Drosophila melanogaster: one gene and its partner. The protein of the gene in region 1 purifies or fractionates together with the protein of each later gene. This does not show direct contact. Each region holds a gene or a part of one and is shown on either strand. Other genes may lie near its edges. The genes, in order: CG10494 and GAPcenA.

What was found.
Region 2: the proteins of CG10494 (region 1) and GAPcenA purify together in Drosophila melanogaster (affinity purification with mass spectrometry, with the first as the bait; one large-scale study listed by BioGRID). This does not show direct contact.

Annotation. Positions count from the first base shown.
Region 1 is NT_033778.4:21,513,890-21,523,676, forward strand, and holds CG10494 (uncharacterized protein), read right to left. Parts: upstream 5,237-9,787; 5' UTR 5,117-5,236; coding exon 5,041-5,116; exon of another isoform or gene 5,037-5,040; intron 4,982-5,036; coding exon 4,568-4,981; intron 4,509-4,567; coding exon 4,092-4,508; intron 4,033-4,091; coding exon 3,368-4,032; 3' UTR 3,266-3,367; downstream 1-3,265. Other genes in the region: MESK2 (misexpression suppressor of KSR 2), read left to right, coding at 1,999-2,444; CG30288 (uncharacterized protein), read right to left, coding at 5,446-5,858, 5,926-6,092, 6,150-6,192, 6,255-6,480; CG30289 (uncharacterized protein), read right to left, coding at 6,722-7,230, 7,289-7,513, 7,728-7,944.
Region 2 is NT_037436.4:8,344,848-8,358,004, reverse strand, and holds GAPcenA (GTPase activating protein and centrosome-associated), read right to left. Parts: upstream 11,445-13,157; 5' UTR 10,836-11,444; coding exon 10,529-10,835; intron 10,465-10,528; exon of another isoform or gene 10,231-10,464; coding exon 9,952-10,230; intron 9,750-9,951; coding exon 9,566-9,749; intron 9,504-9,565; coding exon 9,316-9,503; intron 9,257-9,315; coding exon 8,160-9,256; intron 8,106-8,159; coding exon 7,917-8,105; intron 7,858-7,916; coding exon 7,138-7,857; intron 7,079-7,137; coding exon 6,626-7,078; coding exon of another isoform or gene 6,617-6,625; exon of another isoform or gene 6,281-6,616; intron 6,239-6,280; coding exon 6,071-6,238; 3' UTR 5,726-6,070; downstream 1-5,725. Other genes in the region: Idh (isocitrate dehydrogenase), read left to right, coding at 70-1,350; Culd (CUB and LDLa domain), read left to right, coding at 1,797-2,000, 2,063-2,393, 2,457-2,861, 3,395-3,763, 3,822-4,526, 4,593-5,476; CG7182 (uncharacterized protein), read left to right, coding at 11,936-13,157.

The DNA of each region.
Region 1 (9,787 bases):
CTTAAGATTTTGAGAGTTGAATAGTGAAAATGACTTACACTAGCCTGCATCTGCGTAGATTTGCTTCTGAGTACAGTGCAACCTCGTTAGCTGGGCCATTGATGCGCTTTCGCTTTTCCAACGCTCTCTTTAATTTTCTCCTCCACAAAAACACACACTCTCGCACACGCCTTTTGTTTCGAATAACTCTTTCATTTATTTGACCTATCATTTTGTTTTGTTTATTTACACGCAAATTGAAAACAAATTATACAACAACGAAAACAATTACCACAACAACCACAAACAACTGAACATTGAATTTCGAAAACCCCAAAAGCTGTTGGCACACTGCAAAAGTTGGCGCGCAAAATCTCATCGGTCAGCCGGAGCAGTTCCACGCAAATTGAGCTCACTGTACAGTGAACGACGGCGGCAGAGCAGAACTATGTGAGCGAATGGAGAGAGCAACAGCAGTGGCAGCGGCATCGGCAGAAGCGGCAGCATCGGCCCCAATTCGGTGGGGCAGAGTGAGTGAGAGAGAGAGAGAGAGCAATTGGATAATCACCCGACGCCGATACACCCAAAACAAAAAATTAGAACAATAACCACACTGAGAAAAATGGTTTACAGCTTTGCTTTTAAGGGCAAAATAATCTTGCTTCGGTTTCTCCACTTCTGTGATTTGCGTTGAAATTTATCGTTGCTCTTTTGTTTTATGTTAAATACTTTTTTTGTAATTAATGCGATTTTTAGTTGGTAAGCTATTAAGTGGAAAGCGGCAAGTGATTAGTTTCCATTTCGTTTGTTGTCTACATAAATAAATGCATTGCATATATGTACTTTACATATTGCCTTTCGTTGTGTCACCCCTTTTCTCCCACATGCCTTAAAAGTCGGGCTGCTTTCACCATCCACAACACAGCTTAAATGTACGAGAGCAATAAGTTTAAACACACTATACAAATATACATACATGACAACGCTATTATATACAAATTACATTACACTAACCATACTCAAGTCGAGAAAAACGATAAACGAAACGAAAATTGAAAAGTGTAAGCTTTTGTTGTATATTTGAGAATTCTAAATAAACGAACGAACAACGTGAATTTCGAACTGTAACGGTGCGGCCAGAGTGATATACTCCTCCGAGATATGAATATATCTGGTGTTGATGGTCCTCTGGCCACTGGGAGTCGCGTCTCTTTCCCACAGCAGCAGCATCGTCGTCACAGCAGCCACATCCAATTCAATCCCAGCAAAGGGAGCTCATCGCATCGCATCGCATCGCATCGATCCGCTCATCGACCATCGCGAAATCTCAGCCCAGCTTCCTTCCCTTCCCCTCCATCTCGTCCATCAACTAGAACAACAACAACAACAAACAACAATAATAATAAAATTTATTAATTATAACGATAATAGAACAACAGCAGCAGCAGATTGTCGCCGCTTTCATCTCGAATCATGCAAAATGCACACCATACACATTACATTCAGATACAGATACAGATACACTTGCAGCTGCGATTAAAATAAGGATAGAGGTAAATTATTTAGATTCATGTGTTGTAAGCTGTTTTTATAGCTTCAGCTAACTAAAGATAGTTTCAAGTGAACTTAGCCTTATTAAACAATATAAAGACTGAATTAAACGATGTAAATTGTAACCATAATCAATGATGAGATTATTGAATACTACATAGTTATCTTTACAATGGACATAAAGCCTTAACTTCCATTCGAATTTTAAGAGTTAAGAGAGTCAAGCAAATCTAAGAATTTTATTTATTTTAATCGCAGCCTTTTGCAAACGTACAGACATCACCACACGTACATACATTTCAAAAACAGCAGGCAAGCCTTTTAGAAAGTGTATAAAGAAAAACACCCATCAAGAACAAGAACCAACAACTTACATGTTATCAAGTGACATAACGTAAATAACAAAAGCCAAACTACTACTACCTTCCCCCCAAAACAACAACAACTCCACTTATAAAACTGCAACAGCAACGCCGCTGTCCACGCCAGCGAGTTCGCCCTGTGGAACTAAATACCACACCTACTCCTCCATCTTCTTTGCCAACTTCCGGGAGCAGCAGCAGCAGGCGATGGAGGAGCGCGATCGTGAGCGGGAAAGGGAGCGGGATCGCCAGCGGCAGCTGAGCCTTCGCGTTGGCAATCGCCTTCGGGAGACGGCCATCAATTGCACCAGCAGCAACTCCAACACCACCGCCGGCCAGGGGGACAATAATAATGCGGATGGTCGCAGCGTCGACGGGGACGACCAGGATCTGGAGAACGGAAACGGATGTGCCGGCGGCAACGGAACAGGAACCGGTAATGGCAACCGAGCCTACGTGACCACGGACACATCGGGCACGCTTTACTACGGCACCCAGAGCAACAAGATACGCATCACAGAGAACCCACTGCCCGAGCCGGTCAGCTCTTAGATTGTTACTGCAGAGTCCACATAATCTCCAAAAGACACCTTGTTATTGTTGTTACCACACACTGAGAAAAAATAATGCAGCAGCAGCAGCCAAGTCAAGCCAAGCTTTCAGCCGTGCTCCAAGAGACACAAAGCCACAGAAACTCAAAGAATAAAAAATATTATGAAATACAAGCAACTCACACACCGCTAGGAAATGAATGCGAATGCAATAATTAACCACCAAATGAGAACCCATTGATTGATTGATTGATTGATTGGTTGATTGATTGATTGTGTTTCCCTATGGTTTTCGAGATGCGGAGAGATATTTGTAATTTACACTTTGTGCCTGAGCGTAACGTAACGAACATACACGTATATATATCAAGCCAGATCGGTTCAGATCAGCAACAGCAGTTTAGTTTTCTATGCCCAATTGATTACATTGTTTTTTTTTTTGGAGTGCAACACATATTTTATGACGAGCTTGCTTAGTTGTTGTAAACCGAACAATATACAAAATATATACATATGTGTATACAGATGACACAAGCAGAACAAAAACTAAAAACTAACGAGCATTTTCGCTTAATGTTAAAACCTAAAACGAATCCAACTGTTAACTTAATCCCAAAAAATAACAATGTAGCATATCAAATAAAAAACGAAAAATCTCTCAAAATTACGTATATACTTATACAAAACCCTAGATAAATCGTAGACAATTGCGAATTGCGAGTAACTTCAAACCAACATTCTGTTCACAATGAATGAGGAATAAATTCTAGACACAGGACACTGTCACAAAAACAGGATACACACACACACACGATATTGAATATAGAATACATACATATAATATATATAAATAATGACAACTTTTTGCAATAACTTCGAATTCAATTCAATAAAAGTTTTAGAAGCTTGAGTTCTATGTTTCCATTACTTCGGTTGCAGCATTTCGCTGATCCTGCGCAGGGTCTCCTCTCGATCTCGATGCATCAGTTCCGATACTTGTTCCAAAAATTGATGCTGCTGCTCGCGTTGCTGCCGCAAGAAGCTTTCGTTGGTAGTTTTGATCTGCGCAAGCAGCTGCTTTTGACCTTCTATGATTGCAGTGAGTGCTTCAATCGGCGTTGGTTCAGCCTCCATCTCGATGGCGTCCACGTAGTCCTCGCTATCGGCTGCCGCTCTTAGGAGATCGCAGGTGGAGCTGGAGTTGTCGCTGTCACTTTCCAGCGGAACGCTTGGTTTGCCTGGCGGCTTGAGAAAGGAAGGCTTGCTGATGCGAATGAGCCTGCTGATGGCACTTTCTCTGTTCTCCCGCGGCGCCTGAATCAGTTCATCGAAAAGCTCAAAGTGGCGAGGCAGAATGCGTACATTATCTAGCCCGTGCTCCTTGGCCTCTCGATGACGCTTGCAGAGCAGCCTTAGTTTATTGCGCAGCTGGTGTGGCGTGCGTTTGATGTCCTGCTTAGCCAGGATGTTGGAAATGTGCACCAGGGTCTGGAAGTTGCGCTTCCTTGAGCCATCCAAGGCGCGAAAGAAACCATTGTCCCGAATGATGAGTAGAAACGAATCAACCTCTTCGTCTGTCCAAAAGTGCGCTAAGGAACATAGGAATTTAATTAAATATGGAATAGGAACTAGCTATTATAATATCTACCTCCGCTTCTCTGTGATGCATCACCCTCTTCCTCGTCACTGTCATTGAAATCACTATCGCTTGCGCTGCTCAGATGGGCTTCCGCTTCAGCATCTGCGGCCGCCTCCTCTTCGGTGGGATCCAGGACCAGTCGCATCGCCTCAAAATGCTCGAACGTTTTCCCCGTGCCGTTCTTGACCTTGTTGTACAATCGCCGCAGCTGCTGGAACTTGATGCGCAGCTTCTCAGCACCCTTGTGGCAGTTGCGTTTTGCCATCTCCTTGGACAGCAGCTTGAAGACCTTGGCATTGCGCTTTTGCAGCAAAGCTGCTCGCAGTCCAAGTGTGTGGATCAGGTCTAGGAGGAGGTCCACTTCGCCCTCTGCCCACTTGCAGCGGGCGACGATGTTAACTGAAGATCCTGAGGCATCCAAAGCATCTGCGAAGGAAAGTCGCCTAAGTTCGTATTCCAATACATTCCTGCCCGGTGGCACCTACCGTCCCCTTCGGTTTCTGAGATCATGCCGGACTGGTCCTCGTCGGCCTCCATATCGCTGTCACTCTCTAGCGCCTCTTCATCCAGATCAGATACATCTTCTCCCTGCATCAACTCGTGCACCGCCTCAAAGTGCTCGAATGGTTCGCCGCCATTCCGAGCTCTCGCATACTGACGCCGCATCTGATGGAACTTGACTCTCAGATGCTTTGGACTCTTGGGGCAGTTCCGCCGGGCCATTTCTCTGGACACCATACGAAACACCTTTGCATTGCTTCGCGGCCTTCGAAGAGCAGCTTGCAGTTTAAGTTGGTGAATGATTTCCAGAAAGGTCTCCACCTTTGCGCTGGTCCACTTGCAGCGACTCGCTTTCCCAGAACTATTTTCCGACACCGAGTGACTCGCATTTCCCAGATCTGTTACGAAAAGTAAGGATTTGGTAACATCGAACCGGCTGAGGACGCTGCTTACCCACTCATAAGGTGTGCGTATTTCTGCTCCGTTTCGTGCTCGTCCTCATCGTTGCCATTGAAGAGCGAGAACTTGCTCATTTTCAAATGGTTATGCTTAAATCGCGCAATGAAATCAATAAATATATATTTATATTTGATCGGTTTTTTTTTAGCTTGATCAAATCATAACAATAACAAAACTGTCATCGATAGTAGGACGCGTTAAGCTACCTATCGTTATCGGCATCGATGCGGCCGTACCATACATTCTGCTCGAATGTATGTTTCATGTAAGGAATATGTATGTTAAATGTAGAAATAGCCTACAATCTGAAAAAAAAAACCAAAACCAACAAGAAACTATGATATTGATAGCCAAAATATATACGCTAAAACATTATATTGTTATTAAGCAACATATTTTGATCTCATTCAAAGTCGTCTGAATGGTTTTGAATAACATCCAATATCCAGTCCGTAAAGTGTGTGACATTGGTGTAAATTCCCAAGCCACTGCACAACCGAAGTCCTTGGCTAGCGACACCGAACTGGAAGACCCTTCCCTGCCCCTCAAATGTACGAATTGCGCTCAAAGGACCTCCCGAATCGCCTTTGCACGAATCACTGATATAACTGCCGGCACATATATAGGATATATCGAGAGGTCTTCCAGGTCTTTCACAACTCCATTGAGGTAATTGTTGCAGGGTGGCAGTCTGTAGCCTATCTTGCTCTTCTCCATCACTATTTGTACCCCATCCGGTGAAATTGAAGCGTAATATTGAGAGTGGGTTCCCACCCAACGTTTTGCCCAGAATCAAGCAGATTGGTCTGACATAGTCTATGGCGAACTTTAGTTAGTTACATATTTAGTTCCCAAGAAACTTTTGATAGCGAAATGCACTTACTTGAGAATATCACACTCCTTTGCATTCGCAACAGACCAATATCATATCCTGGATTACTATGAACAATTTTCCTATCCACGTCCACATTGTAGGCCCTTGGTGTGCAGACAAAATCATCGCAGTCGAATATGGGATGTCGGGTATCGTATTCGCCCAGGCGCACATTCCTTAAAAAAGGTCATTTTGAGGATCAAATGTGTAGTAATAGTATGGTATGCACTCACATATACATTGGGGAAATGCAATGCTCGGCGGTCAAAACAAATCCTAAATGAACATACAATGATAATTTGAGTATATATTTCTTATTATCAATTCCAAATACTTACGAGCAGTTATAAGTGAACCGCCACACACTGCTTTTCCCGAAATCATTACTCTGACCATCCAGGGATTCGATTCCATGCCAGCATCTCTACCTCCATCGATTCGCGCTCTATAACCATTACTGCTCGTGGTTCCACAGTCGTTTTCCAGTAAGCGTCCGGATTCCGTCCGGATAATCCCAATAAAAAGACAGGCTACTATCACAAGCTGCCGTATAGGTAGACGCATCTTGTTCAGAGACTAAATTCGAATGGCATCGGTTTCTATTTTTATGCTTGTTCTTCGGCAAACGGCAGAGATAAGAAGTGATTTATTCAGAAAAAATACTAATACAATTTTTACAATCGATTTGAATGTGACATCGTTTATTTTCAATTAATGACAAGATTTTTTTTTTTTAATTAAATCTCTTGAACTTTAATATATTTCGAACTTCGATGCGTTGCCCTGCCATTTTGTCGAATATTAATTAATTTTCATATACAATTCTGTTATACATTAGTTCTATATTCCTTATTATGTCTGTTATGTTACAAGTTTGGCCTACGAGCTTGGATAACCAAAAGGTAGTATGACCTGTAGGTTTGAATTGAACCATTTTATTAAATATCCATTCCCTGTGGTACGATACATTGGTGTAAACACCTGCCACATTAGCCGCGCACCTTTCGGATCCGTAGCTGACCAAGCCGTACTGGAAACTCAGAAGCCTGTTGCCATAATGAAATTTCGAGCTCAATGGGCCTCCAGAATCGCCCTTACAGGTGTTACTGGTATGACTGCCAGCACATATCTGCGATCGATCAGCCTGTTTGTTGAACTTAATGTTACAGTATGATATATCCATGTTATATAGAGTGGCATTCAGTAGGATCCGACTGAATTGACCATATTCTGTTTCACCCCAGCCGGTAACCGTAAACATTGGAATGCTTTGCATTTGCTCGCCGACAAGAAGGCAAATTGGCCTAACATAATCTATAACGAAAAACATAAAGCTTTAGTCATCCACGTGAGATAAAACCCCTCTATTTACCTGAGTACTCCACAGCTTCGGACATACGAAGCAATGCTATATCATTCTGGAGAGTGATGCCATTATAATTTTCGTGAACAATTTTCATATCCACACTAATGTTGTAGAACTTTGGTATACAGTGATTGTTAAGGCAGTATGGCATGGGATCTAGTGTTTCGTAATCACCCAAGCGCACATACAGATCTTCAAAGGATACGCAGTGCGCTGCTGTCAGGACGAATTCTTAAAAGAAAAATAAATAAATAATAAAAAAATAATAAAATAGTCGACTATCTCGATTATTTATTCATATGCTTTTCAGTTTTTGGGTACATGTAAGTTAAGATATATATATCGTGGACTATGAACTATATTATAAATCTAAATAAATATAAATATATTAATATATTAGTATAGAGTAAATAAAGAATAACCAATGTTTTAGTCAAATACATACGCCGTGCAATAAGAGAGCCGCCGCAGGGCTTACTCGACCAAACCAACACCATCCAAGGATTTTCTTGAATATTTGTTTTGGCTCCTCCAAAAATGTTCGGAACGTATGGATCGTCCTTTGATATTCCACAATTCTCAACCAGCAGGCGCGACATTACGTTATTGTTGGCAATAAATAGGCATACGAGTGCCGCGATTACCGCATTGATCACTTCCATGGTTGCGCGAAGACTGATCGGTGATAGCATATCAACTATTTTCCGTTTGGTGCTAAAAAGTTTAAGCTGTTCGCTTTTTAACAAAAAATTAAATTAACATAATAGAATATATTAATAATATATATATATTTAACAAAACTCTGGCCGGAAGGGCAATTAGCTTTTGAGTTAGGTTAAAAACTAAAATATGTTCATACAATAAATACTAAGTTTGACTTTTTATGATATCGTTAAAAATTATCGGCAATATCGATAGAGTGTTAATTCGTTCCGCAACAAATGGTGTACCAAGTGGGTAAGTGTCATTTTTACCAACGTCAAAAATTGCAATAAGATTTGTAGTTTTTCTGAAATGTCAAAAATGTTAAAGGAGAAAAAATGGTAGTTTCTGGGGCATGCCAACTCGGGCTTTAGCTGCAAAGTAATTGGCAACTTGATTTCCATCGGTGACTGCAACCACAGCATACTGCAACTTGTTGCGAGCGAGAGAGAGAGAGCGAAGTTCGATTCGAACATCGAGCGAAACGGGCAAATCGGTTAAACGGTTCGGCCGAAGCTATATAAGCAACCCGCAATAGCCACTCTGTAAATTTGAAGATAAATTTCAAGCCGGGCTGCCCGTGTTTCAGTTTCCCAACGAAAACATCAACAAATAACATCATAGAAAACTGCGCTTGCGTATTCGGTAAATCGCCGGGCAAATTAACATCGGGTATATTACGAAAAAATATAAATATTATGATATTTTCATATCATTATCAAGTGCAATTGTAATCGTAATCGTAATTGTTTATATTGTACACAATAATACAACAGGCGGAGCTTGTAGGCCAACAACAGAGTGTGTGTGTGTGTGTTATTGTGCGTGCGTGTGTGTGTTCGCCAAGTTGGTTTCGCATTGGCTTCAGCTTTTTTTTTGTAATCACCCCCGCGCGATCGTTTGCGTTATCTGTGCGCTTTTACGATTTGCACGCTAATTTCGCGAATATACATACGTATATATTGTAGAAGTGAAGTCAAAACAGAGATCGGGTCAAAAGTTGTAGTGGAAAGCTCGTTGCTAATCGCCGGTCAAAGTCTGGCTTTTTGAGATGGGGCAAGGAGGAGCGTCGGCCACGCTTGACTAGGCACCACAACGCCACCCCCCCCCCCCCTCAACTCAGGCAAAGCATCTCGAAGTAAACAAACAATTCTGCCGAGATTCGCGTGTTTGTACAGTTGGTGAATATAAGCAAATCGACCGCGCATCGATATCATGATGATTATCAGCATGTGGATGAGCATATCGCGAGGATTGTGGGACAGCAGCTCCATCTGGTCGGTGCTGCTGATCCTCGCCTGCATGGCATCCATCACCACAAGCTCATCGGTCAGCAATGCCGGCTATGTGGATAATGGCAATATGAAAGGTAAGCTCTTTTCCAACACACAGTCGAGCTTCTGTAACTCGATATATAGTAGTATATGGTTAAGCATTTTAATGGAACTGAAATGTGGCACATAAATATTGTCATTTCATTGTTAACTCAAGTTACAGAAAAACAATTGCAATGCAAGATAAAAGTATTTCTGCAATGCAAATCAAATAAAATGGAGGGCACAAAGTGATATTGCCGAAATTCCATGTAGGCCAGATGCACTGTATTTTTTTTAGCCAAACCAAAAACTGTGCCGAGTTCTACGTATCAGCATGAGACACACTCGTATTTGTTTCTGTCTGATAGCAATCCGACAGATACCGATGGAAAATAGCAAGGTGCTGTCTGCCCTTCTGAGATCATTTTCATGGGTGCGGAACAAAGGGGGCTGCTGTGGACAAAGATTGATAAAAGGGATTCGATTC
Region 2 (13,157 bases), on another chromosome or scaffold:
AATACCGCAGCATTCAGACACAAATCCATTTTTCATGTAGCTAATAAGATTCCCATCCTGCCCTTCAAGCACTCAAGTGTGGTATGCTCTCCCGAACAGATGGCCCAGAAGATCAAAGCCGGTCCCGTTGTGGATGTCCTCGGTGACGAGATGACCCGCATCATTTGGGACTCCATTAAGAGCCAACTGATTCTGCCCTTCCTGGACATTGAGCTGCATACCTACGATCTTGGTATTGAGAACCGCGATAAAACCGAGGACCAGGTCACCATTGACTGTGCTGAGGCCATCAAGAAGTACAACGTGGGCATCAAGTGCGCCACAATCACTCCCGACGAGAAGCGCGTAGAGGAGTTCAACCTGAAGAAGATGTGGAAGTCGCCCAACGGTACCATCCGTAACATCTTGGGAGGAACCGTCTTCCGTGAGGCAATCATCTGCAAGAACGTGCCCCGTCTGGTGACTGGCTGGCAGAAGCCTATTGTGATCGGTCGCCATGCCCACGCCGATCAGTACAAGGCCGTCGACTACGTGGTTCCCGGACCCGGCAAGCTGACCCTCACCTGGAAGGGAACCGACGGTCAGGTGATCGATGAGGTCATTAATGACTTCAAGGGCCCCGGTATTGCCCTGGGAATGTTCAACACGGACGATTCCATTGTGGACTTTGCCCACGCCTCTTTCAAATATGCTCTGGACCGCAAGCTGCCGCTGTACATGAGCACCAAGAACACCATTCTGAAGAAGTACGATGGACGCTTCAAGGACATATTCGAGGACCTGTACAACAAGCAGTACAAGAAGGAGTACGAGGCGGCGGGCATCTGGTATGAACACCGTCTCATCGACGATATGGTTGCTTATGCCATGAAGTCGGAGGGTGGCTTCGTGTGGGCCTGCAAGAACTACGACGGTGATGTGCAGTCGGACTCCGTTGCCCAGGGCTACGGATCTCTGGGTCTGATGACCTCCGTGCTGCTATGCCCCGATGGCAAGACCGTGGAGGCTGAAGCCGCTCACGGAACGGTGACGCGTCACTTCCGCTTCTACCAGCAGGGCAAGGAGACCTCCACCAACCCCATTGCCTCGATATTCGCCTGGACCCGTGGCCTGCTGCATCGTGCCAAGCTGGACAACAATGAGCCACTGAAGCAGTTCGCCGACACCCTTGAGCAGGTGTGCATCGACACAATTGAGAGCGGCGCCATGACCAAGGATCTGGCCATCTGCATTAAAGGCAACATCAACGCCGTTACTCGCAGGGACTACCAGGAGACTTTTGAGTTCATTAACACGCTGGCCAAGAACCTGGAGGGTGCCCTGGCCAAGAATGCCGTTGCTGCCAAATGACTATCCGGCACTCAGTCCGAGCAGCAGGCCTCGCATCTCTAGAAAACTACTCAGCGATGCCTTGTCCTCGTCACCATATTCACAATATTTCCATTCGTTTTTGTAGATGTGCATGTCCTAGGCTAAAAATCCGTGTCCTCGATGCATGTTTCCCACTGTTTCATTGTCTCTGCGAGACGCAAAAAAAAACCCTGATTTCCCTTTAACGTCTAACGGAAAAGAAATTTCAAATAAATGTATTTTTATACCGGACTCGAGAGGTCTTTAACCCAGTCGAGGGTGGGCTCGTTACGAGGCCCGGTCCACTTGTGCGGCTTCTGATGGCTCTGGGTTTATTGGATTTGCCAGCGAAATGGCCACAGTTGTGTTCTAACACTTGGCGGCACCAGACCGAGACGGTTCAAGCGGAAGGGGCTCAGGATCCTGTTAGAAGGACGAAACTATCGATGCTAGCCGAAGCATTGGGCTATGGCTACCTGCTGGCCTACGTGATCTGCCTGCTCTGCTGGCCAGGAGAGGCGTATCCCGCCAGCAGTAGCTACCGGGATCTGGATATATGCAATCATTGGGACGGAAGACGTCACTTCCTGGAACTGGGAAGTCCAGCTGGAGAGGTGCACGCCAGGAATGTGACTACTACTGCCTATAGAGTAAGTGTATTTACAAGCTTCTCCAGACGGGATTTGGTCAGCAATTATGAACTTAAAAACAGAGCTCGCCGCTGGTTTTTAAGAACGATGCAGTGGCCGGGGATGTGTGGTACCAGTGCAGCCTGGAGCTGGTCACCTGTGCCGAGTGCGTCATCCGAGTGGCCTTCACCTATGCCAACTTCTCCAAAAGTTGCGGCAATACGGGTGGCAAGTCCAGCATGTGTCCCTGCGAGCATATCCAGTTCTCGGAGCCGCCCTATGATTCCACCATTTCCGGCCAAGAGTTCTGTGGAGATGGCAAGGTGTTTCGGAGCAAAACCAGGACACTGCAGTTGAAATTCTTCTACAGAGCCAGCAATGCGCACGTGTTCTCCCTTCAATACTTCTCGGAACGTAAGATTTAGAATCAGTTGGTAGGTTTTTAAGAATGCTCTATCCGGATTTCCCTCGGAATAGGCAACGTGCGGATAGTCAGTGGCTCCCCCAAGCAGTCTATTGTGGGCAATGGGAGTACAAAGTCCCAGCCACAAGTGATCTCCACGCCGTATTTCCCGATGGCATATCCACGCGACTATGGTATCGAACACATCCTCACCTGCGAGGCGGACAACTGCCAGGTGCGTTTGGATTTTACCGACTTCCAGCTGGGCCTCACCTCCACCCTAGAGATCTTCGACTCCAATGGCCAGATGCTGGACTCCTATACGGGTGAGCACTTCCGTCCGCCGATCACGGTGAGCAGCGGCAAGTCTCTGCTCCTGCAGTTTCGAGGAAATTCCGCCACCGGAGTGGGTTTTCGCGCGGAGGTTAGCTTCGTATCCTCCAAGCAGCTCAAGGACGAGCGACTGGTGCCCTACACAGGTAAGTGAATGGGTTGCAGTGCACTGAACAAAAACTAAGACTATCAAACAACTCAGATCTAAGGTTAAAACACAAATATTCCGCAGGATTAAAAAATTCGAGGTTTTTAAAAGTATAGAACATTATGCTTATCTTCATTTTAGAACTCGCAGATTGATTAACTTTTTAAATGGATTAGTATATCTTTTCTCTGTAGGAATAGGGACATTTTAATGATTTTCGGATTAGTCGAGCACTTGAAAGTCTGCAGGCAATTGTCATATTGATTTTGGCGAAGGTAGTGGGTGGGGTGGGCACTTGGCGAATATCAATGTCAATGCAAGGCGTTGAAGTGGAAACTGGGTGACTCTGGTTGGGTTCGGTTTGGTAAGACAATCGATTTCTTGGATCATTGCCCGTAGGGTGGTTGGCAAATACTTGTATATAATCCGGAATGGGGTTGGTTATGCACTATTGCGACAGGTTGGATCACAATGCATGATGCAAGAGCACATAAATAAATGCTTATGTACATATCTCTATTACACCTCTAGATTGCGGGGGAATGGTTACCGGACCTGGTGGCGCCATCACCATGATGAACATGATCGAAAATGCCACGGACGTGCGGCTGTTTGACTGCATCTGGATTATAAAGCCCGGCAACAACTACATGATGATGAAAACCCACATCTCGTTGAGAGTGGATGACTTCTACGGCATGGCCGCCAGATCTGAGCTCACAATACGGCAGGGCACCACCTCGGATGCCGTGGAGATCGAGAATGTGATGTGGCCGAACAATGGGCTGAGCAAGGAGAGTCATGTGGCGCCCATCCTCAATGGCTACTACATTCGACTGCGTGGGGTATTCGGGATGTCCTCCAAGCTGGCCATCGTCTACAGCGTGTTCAACTACTTGAGTGAGTTCGATTGGAAAATTTAAATTTAATGTTTAATTAACCAATTCGAATTGCTTAGATTGCTATATTGGCTCGGAGTTTCTGTGCGGGAACAATCACTGCATATCCATTCGCCTCCACTGCGATGGCTTCGACCATTGTGGGGATGGCAGCGATGAGCCGGATTCCTGCGAGGAGGACTGGGCACACCTGCATCACGATCGTCGCTGGTACTCTCACAAGCCCAACTATTATTTCCCCAAGATAGACCAGTATCCAGATCTTAAGACGGCCACGGGAATCTTTATCATCAGCACACTTGGCATATTTGGTGTGCTGTCCGGCTGGATGGTGATCCTGTACAGGATGGGGGTTAGAGCACGACACCAACGTGAGCTTCAAAGCCACCTGCAGACGATCAGTGAGCTGTTGGATCGCCAGGACGAGGATCGCACGCCCGATGAGCCACCCAGCTACGAGGCACCACCCGATTACGAGGAGGTCATCAAGGTAGGAATGCAACAGGAGCTACGGGAGCCACGTCGCCAGAGACGGGCCCGTCGAGCTCCGCCTAGAGATCGGAGCTGCAGTCGCGCCGCAAGCAATTGCACCGTGCAATCGGTACTCCCACTGCATCGCAGCTGCACCCTGGAAAGGGATCAAGAACAGCCCAGTACCTCGGCGGCGGCAATGACCCATGCGGTGGCTGCCACGGATACAACGGAGGATGCCGAACACGTCCAGACGATGGCCCAGCGAATGCTCCTCGCCACGGCTATTTGTGGTAGGTCGAGAGTTCCCCCAATCCCGCCCTGCAGTCGCTAACTTACCCACAGAGTCCCACTTGCAGGCACTGCAGGCACGTCTCTCCCGGCAGCAAAGGAGTCAGGGCAGCGGGTCCAATCCGTGGGGATTTCAACGAGCCCGTCATCGTTATCCGCTGGGGGTGAACTACCCACAGCAGGTGGGTCAGCCACAACGCCCGGCAGCACGGCAGATGAGTGCACCCAGGGAGGCGACTCACTTAGCATTTCACTCACTCTAGGCTTGCCCTCCACCACGGCAGAGAGTCCTGTGACAACCGACCAGAACCAATTGCAGAAACAAAGTCCGGAGCAGACAATCAGCAATTGCACGGAGCACACCTTCCTAAAGAGATCGTGGTTGGTGGTGCAACAGGTTCCACCTGGCAGGGGTTACCGTGTCCGGAGGCTGCGACATACCTTCTCCTCTCCTGAAGCATTCACTAGCGATGAGCTGCATCTGCCGTACCCGGATTTCCTGAGCTACGGCACTAATCTTCCACATGAACGGAGCAGTAGTAATTTCGGATCCGAGTTGTCGAGGGACCCATCGAGTTATAGTGTGGGCAAACGAGCTCGCTTGACGCCCGAGGACACAAGTGGATCGGAGACCATTACCCAGGAGATGGAGCAATCCAACCAGACACTCCAGTCCCATGTGATAGTGGAAAGTCACCCGAATCACAGCGAAAGTGAGAGCGAAGCGGAGCAGCAGGTGTCCTGCTTTGGAGCCGTAGCCCAGCGGCCCAAGAGGCGTCATCGGGGTCATGTGAGGAGCCGATCCTTTAGCAATGCCAGAGGTGGCAGTGCCGGAAGGAGGCGTCTCATGCAGCGCAGCTCGTCGGCCGATCTTTTGATGAACTACGCGACAATGGCGGTATCGACGCCACAAAAAACGAGCGAGGCAATGCAGCGATTGTTCTTCATCTGAGCGGGAGATTCAAAATGGAAGAGTGGACAAGTGGAACGATAGTATTAAAGCCTGGTGTGATTCTGGTCGGATTCTAGTCACATATAAATAAATAAGCCTGTTTCTTACTCGAATGTTATTAGCTTATTGAAATTCTTAATAAATAATTAACTTCAACTTCATCAAGACTTATCCAAAAGGTCGCAACGTTTGTATTCTTTATAATATGTACCATACCGCAAAAAGAAATGAATAATTACATTATGAATTAGCATTTTTTGTTAATTTATTTATTTATAGCCGTTATACGTGTAGCATTTGCCAGAGCAGATCAATATGTGCCCCAGATCAGATCACAAAAAACAACAACGAACATCCATCGCCCAAGATTCACTTCAACCCACTAATTGATCCGGGGCACATCCTGACCAGCACTGACTTTCGGGTGCCTCAAAGTGCAAAATAATAAAAATCTATTACTCGCGTATATATGGAAATCAAAATGCACGTTTTTATATGTATATATAGACGAATATGATAAATAATACCAGACGTAGTCAATGCCGTAGGTCTGCCTGCTATCCAGATCCTCCTACGTTGTAGCTGTATCGTTTCCTACTGCTGCAGCTGTTGCTTGAGATTCTCGGCTAGCGTTTTGCCAGTGTCCAGGGGCACTACTATATTGCGCAGACTATCGATGCTGTTGCGCAGCTTGGTGGCCTGGAATTTGCTGGGCAACTTCGGTGACCCTCCCACCGACGCAAATGCAAAGGTCTTGTACTCCTGGGCAGCCATTCGAGGGACCAAAAGATTCAAATTCAGTATGTTATATACACGGGGTTTTATTTGCAACGCAAAATATCAATAAAATCATAAGCAACCCGGGTTTTAGGGTACTAACAGAAACAGCAGAGGGGTTCAATGCCTGCATAGAGTCGACTAAATAAAGATTCTCAATGTGTGTCATGGTGTGAGGTTAAGCGCGTAATTAAATTAATCAATGATAAGTAATGGGTATTAATAAAGTATTTCGAAAACATTCCTGGAGCTCAGCTCGTGGGCTGATAACCCATATCTTAATCATAGAAATAATACATAAAAAACTTAAAAATAATAAACTGAAGATCTTTCAGTCATAACAGTTGGCCGGATCACTGGACTCTAGGTTACCTGATTGCCGCTGGGGGAGCTGGCCTCGCTTAGGGTAGTTGGCGCCTGGCCCATGTAGGATTGGAATGAGGGCATCGGTCCGCCACTACCATTATCCCGATGGCCGCCTCGCGTGGTTACCTTCTCCTGCAGCGAATTGAAGGTCTTCGATAGCCAGGGCTGCCAGCTGTTGCGGTTGGTTTGCAGCTCACTGAGCGTATTGCTGAGCTGATGGTTCAGGTCCTGGTTCTTGCACTCGGCTTCCACTTGAGCTAGCTTGGCCTGGGCCAGCTCCAGCTCTAGTTCGCGGATGCGTTGCGAGGCAGCGTTTAGCGGATCAAGTGGACCCAGTGGATGCTCATTGGCATTCCGCATGGCATCGGTTTGCCCCCTGTTCTTGCCGTCATCTGACTTAGCGTTGTCATTGCCGGCGTCGATCTGCTGCTGACAATCCTGGCAATTGGAAACCATGTGCTGAAAGAGAGTTGAAAAATGAATATCCCGTCAAATTCATATTACAATACAATACTCACCATCACTTTTCCTAGAGTCTCGCTTAGTGTGTTCATGTCCTGCTCTTGGCGCTGGATGATCTGCTTGTATTCCTGTATAATGCCTGTGTGCTTCTTCTCCTTCTCAACAGCTCGCTCCTTGGCGGAAGTCAGTTGTTTGTTCAATGCGTCGATTTCCGCCTGCATTTTGCGCCTCTCCTCGCCGAAACGATTCTCGTAAATCTGTGCCTCCTTCTCCAGGCGCTCCTTGTGCTGCTTCTTCAGCAGGAACTCCTCCTCGTACTGCTTCAGTTTTTTTATCTTACGTTCGCAGGCTTGCTTCATCACCTTGCGTGCCTGACTGGAGCTGCGGCACTTTTTCGGCAACGTTACCCGGAAATACTTTAGAATGCCCTCAAAATCGAGTTGCCGCAAGTCGGATTCACAGATTGATAAGAGAGTAACGGCCACCTGGAAGAGCACAGGTAGTCCGTCCAGTAGAAACACATCCAGCACGTGGAACACAAAACACAATGGGAATCGCGCTGTATATAAGGTTAGGAACCATTGGGAGGCGTACATGTGCGTCTCAATGCCGCAGGCCGTGAAGTGTTCGTGCAGCTTGGGCAGCTGATCCTTGATCAGTCGCTCCAGTTGGTAGAGACGAAGGTAAAGGACCTCGAATCCGGCTTTGTAGAGATCACGGAGCCCATAGTCGTACATAAGCGCTACCAGAACACAGAACGCATCCTCCTCAGGCATCTGAAAATGTGTGTGTAAGCAATCATTCTTAGATGTAGATTGTCATCATCATTACTTACATGAAGGAGCAGACTAGCTGCTATGAAACTTAGACCCTGACAATATCCAACCTCGCTGTCATGAACGGCATACGCTTTGGACACCTTAAAAAGTGCATCTTGGCCAGAACCGCCAATTTCTTTGAAGCATTTGTGCGCCGGGAAAGTGCGATGGATGTCCCGCTGGATAACGGTCTCACATTTGGTTTCCTACAAGTAAATTTCCAATTAATTTCTTTTCACATGGATAGCGTCTATACTCACTTTGGTGATTAAGATCTTGTACTTGTCGTTCATTTCCATTCTGCCCTCGACGTTGGCTAGCTTCTGCCAGATCTTTTCACGCAGTGCTTCTGGAACGCCGAGGCGTACTAAAGGTGCCAGATTTTTCGGTCTCTTCTCGGAATCCCACTCACGCAGAATGGGATCCCATTCGTCGAGCGTGTCCTGCGAGCAATCCTTAGATACCTCACCAGTGCCACTCAGCAGCGGCTCATCCCCATCGCTGCTGTAGTCCGAGGGACAATCATCCTCAATCGAGGCAATGGACGAACTGCGCACAATGCGCGATAGATTATTCATACCCATCTTGAGCAGGGAAGAGCTTTGCTGGTGGCCCGGCTGCTCCGTTATTTCCTCAGAGGGATCAATGCTATTCACTTTCCAGTTGGACTCTTCGGTCCGCTTTAGATGCAAATAGAATCGTAACGTCATGGGTCGCTTTGACATAAAATGGTCCATAATACGCATTTCGCTGGCCGACTGAATGGTCACTGGGGTCTCAATGACGAACCTAACCGGTTCCTGTATACGTCGCATCACAATGTCTACGGCCACAGTGAGATTGGTCTTTGACGACTCAAGATTTAACTGCTCAAAGGCCTTTTCCTGGGCTTTCCACTCAGCTCGAATTGTATAGGGCCAGGAGGAGCTCTGCTGGGCATTGCTGTCCGATTCGGTTGCTACTCCTGTTCCGCCGGGCTGAATGTAACCCATGCTGTGCATGTCGATCAAATGCATATCCTTTTGGACTACTAGTTTTCCGGGTGCCACTAGAACACCGAAACATCGTTCGATATGCAATGGTTGAAGAACATTTGACGGAGTCTGTTTGACTGTGATGCACACTTCCTTATCTGTGTTCGCCCTTAGCTTAAAGCATCCCCTATCGCGAGGCACTGCGGCATAGGAGTTCTTTGCCACTCGCTCACGGATCTCTAAGGAGACTATGAACTCATACCCAGCCGTGTTTAAAGGATTTCCGCTTACATCGGAGGTTACCGAGTTGGCCATGTCAACGGCCGAATTAAGGCTGCAACTCATGCTGGGCGGATAAGTCTGGAATGCCTTCTGGAAGCAGGCTGCGGGCGAAGATTTTGAATAAATCGGTGGGATGAAATCACTGTATGATCTGACTCACCGCTGACTTGATTAACCGCTTCGGGAATATGGCACCGAAACACATGGCACTGAAACAATGCATCGCCGTGAAGCCAAGTGAATGCAAAGCATCCGTTTTCCACCGTATCCACTGGTCCTCGATAGTACAAGATAATGCTGGATATCTCATAGGTGGCAATAATAGTATTGCTCTCGGCATCGTGGAGGCTGTAATAGCAGCATGATGACGCTCAGTGAGTAATTCAAGGGGCAGTAAAAACTTTACTCACACAACCAGGCCTTCTGAGCAATTGGGTATGCTCACAGTGATCTTCAGGCCCACCGACTTTGAGCCACTATTTAGCTCGCCCATGATGCGATAAACCTCCGTCTCGGATTTTGGGGCATTAATGTTGGCTGCGCCCAGGTAGGTGACTCCGGAAAATATGGTGCAGCCCTGATCGATTTCAGAAACTGAAAGTGAAAAACACATGGTCAATTAAATTTCAATAATTACACTAAACATAGATTTCAGCTTTAGGAGCCTAGGAACACAATATAGAACAAATAATAAAGAACTCTGTGAGTATATAGGCTTTCGTAAAATGAACAGAATTTATAGGCAAATGTACCCCTTAATTTTTGGGATTTTAACTAACTTAAGAGATCTACTCACCCTCCTCGTCGGTGGTGTCGCCCTTCTCCGGCTTCATGGCATCCTGTTTTTCCTCCACGCAGGCGGGGCTAGCGTCTATGCAGTCATAGAACACTGAATGACCCACTCTGTTTGAGCTGGATGCATCGTCGAGGGTCTCCTCGCTTTTGGGCGTGAACAAGGTGCAGGGGAAACGCATCTCGGGATCGACAGATCCCCCGCCGGAGCCCGTGAGCGGTAGGGTCAGGGACTTTTGCTGATGACTCGGGAGACGTTGCGCTGACTTCTCCCCACTGGCAGCTGCAAATATGTTAATTGTCAATTACGCGACGAGCAATAACAAATGCCGAATTATGCGGAATTTTGTTTAAGGAAAGTATTATTATTCGGTTTGTTTGTCGTTGTTTCCATGACAGCGTAGCACTACGGCTCTGCGCCGATAAGATTGCAGCTGGTTAGGCTTAGCAATCGTTTGATGTTTCCAATAGTGGAGCGACCGCGACGTTGTGTGCACAGCTGGCGTTGGGCAACGACTGAGTTTACTTTAGGCTACCCAGGGCAACCCAATTCACCCTCTCAGTTGTGTTTCTTTACTCACCTACGCCGCGTTCCAACTCCAGATCTTTGAGGGCGTCCGTCATCTCGTGCTGCATGTCGCTTAGGTTGCGATTGTGGGCCATGTCCAGAGTGGGCGAGCGATCTCCCCCAGCCTCGGGGGAGGACAGAGCCAGAGCACTCAGCGAAGTGGGCGGTTTGCCACCCACTTCAGGCTGAGTTCCCTCCTGGTTGACAACCTGCTTCACCTGCTCCATGGGACTGGCCACATTGCTGTCGGTAACTATTTCGTACTCCCCGCTGGTTGTTATCGAGGATTCCGAGGACTTGGTGCTCAGATTATCATCCATTCCGAACACTCAAGGTTGCCTCAGTTCCAGGCACTCCCAAATGGGTTACTCTTTGTTGTGTGTGTGATATATTCGGACTTTCTTTATTCTTAAGCCCTACGAATTGCGCATTTTCAGGGCAGGTAAACAAATCAATTTCTGTTCCAAGGCCACGCACTCGTACTCGCACTCGCTTTTAATAGATTTCGTTTTCAATTTGTCCAATTTTCAGCGGAGTCGCATTGTTTGGCTTGGTTCCGCCGTAAATCGATGACGAATCGGTACGGTTTGCTTGGCGTTTTGGGGGCGTACACACACGCGCATGTATGTCACACAGTGCCCAATTCGCGTGGGAACTGGAGGGGTTGGGCCTTCAAGGGGGTGGTGGACGGTGGGGTCGGCGGGGTCAACAGTTTGTCTCTGTAGCCTCTGCGCTTGGATTCCTATGGATTTTTTTGTTATTTTAGTGCGTGCAGCTGCTTTGAGCTTACACTTTGGTTTTTATATTATAGCCTACACTCCGCAGAACTGTAGTACATTGTTTTGACCCTTTATTGTTGTGTTTTTATCGGGTTTTTAGCAATTTTCTTGCAATTTTCCGTCTGTTTTGTTTACATATTTTTTTGCTAGTGATGACCTGCAGTAGGTCGATTCCTATCGAAAGGAAACAGCTGCTTTAACGTTATTCAATACTTCTTTTGAAAGTGTTAATAAGTGTACCTATCGACTTAATCGACTAGTTATTTTCTTTTCTATGCATATTGCCATATGCTTATATGGCAATCTAAATAATCCAATAGCATTACAAAGTTGTCTTTGACTGAAATGACTTGTCTTGAATAAATTTAAATAAATATAAATAAATTTTTAAATTGTAATTCAAAGAACCAAATCTATAAAGGTATGTGATGTATGGAAAATATTGAGAACATATTAAACATATAGTACATATCGAAAAAGTGTCATCGCCGTGACATAATACCCCGCCAGTGTTGCCAAATACTCTGCTACACAACACTACCGCGCGTGCTGGAAAAAAACGTGCGCGTTTATTCGTTGCATTTTGTTAAGATAATTCCTTAAGTCCGGGTACTTCTGACTCCGATTCCGACTCCCAAAAGATGTGGCCGCGATTTGGCATTAAGATTGGCAACAGCACGCTTTGCATCGCCCATGTGCGCGCGGATGGCAAGGCGGAGGTGATCGCCAACAAACAGGGCGACCGAGTGTCCCAAGCGTGCCTTCTCTGGGACGGAGCCTCGGAGATCGAATGTGGCCTCACGGCCAAGCAGAAGATGGCCAACCGTCCGCGCCAGGCGGTGGCGCACAGCTTTCAGTTGCTTCAGCCCAAGGAAGAGCTCACGGAGGAGAAACTGTCCAGTGCGCTGCGTGAAATACCCTGCGACTTTGACAAGGAGGAGCTGGTGTTCCGGATGGAGCACACTGTACCCTCCGACAGGGAGGACCAAGACGATAGAGTTGTGACCAAGGACCTCAGCGCCTATCAGGTGACGGTGGAGCTGCTGCGCGCTGAGCTGGAGCTGGCCCATCAATATCACACGGACGGGGAGCAGGCGCCCATTGCCGTGCTATCCATACCCAGCTACTATCCCGCCTCGGCCTACAAACTGCTAGCAGATGCCGCTCAAACCGCTGGCTTCCATGTGGCCCAGATTATAACCGAACCCACGGCCGCCGTTCTAGGCTATAGCATCGGCGAGGAGCAGACGGAACAGCGCCGCCATGTGCTGACAATCAAATGCGGTGGCTTATATAGCGACATCGCATTCTACTCCGTCCAAAATGGCCTGTTCGTTCAGCTGGCCACTTTCGGACCCTTCCCCATCGGTGGCCGGCAATTCACCGAGGCCTTGGTGCAGTTTATTTGCGAGGAGTTCCGTCGCAAGTACAAGCTAGATCCGCATGAGTCTCGCCGCTCAGTGGCCAAAATACGCACTGCCGCCGCCAATTGCAAACACATCCTGACCACGATGCCTTCCACGCAACTTTATATCGACTCCCTGATGGACGGCGTTGATTACAATGCCCAGATGTCGCGTGCTCGCTTCGAGAGCCTCATACAGCCAGTGATCAATAACCTCATCCAGCAGCTAGGCGAGTGTGTGGAGCAGGCGCAAAAGGAGCATCCCGGGTTGAGTAAAATAGATGACATCGTTCTACTAGGCGCCACAATGCAAATCCCCAAGCTTCAGGCGGCAGTGGGAGCCCGCTTCCCGGATGCCAAGCTCCACAACAGCCATTCGGCGGACGAGGTTGTGGCCATCGGCTGCGCGCGCCAAGCTGTGTGCCTGATTGACCCCCTCGAACAGCAGCTTCACAAGG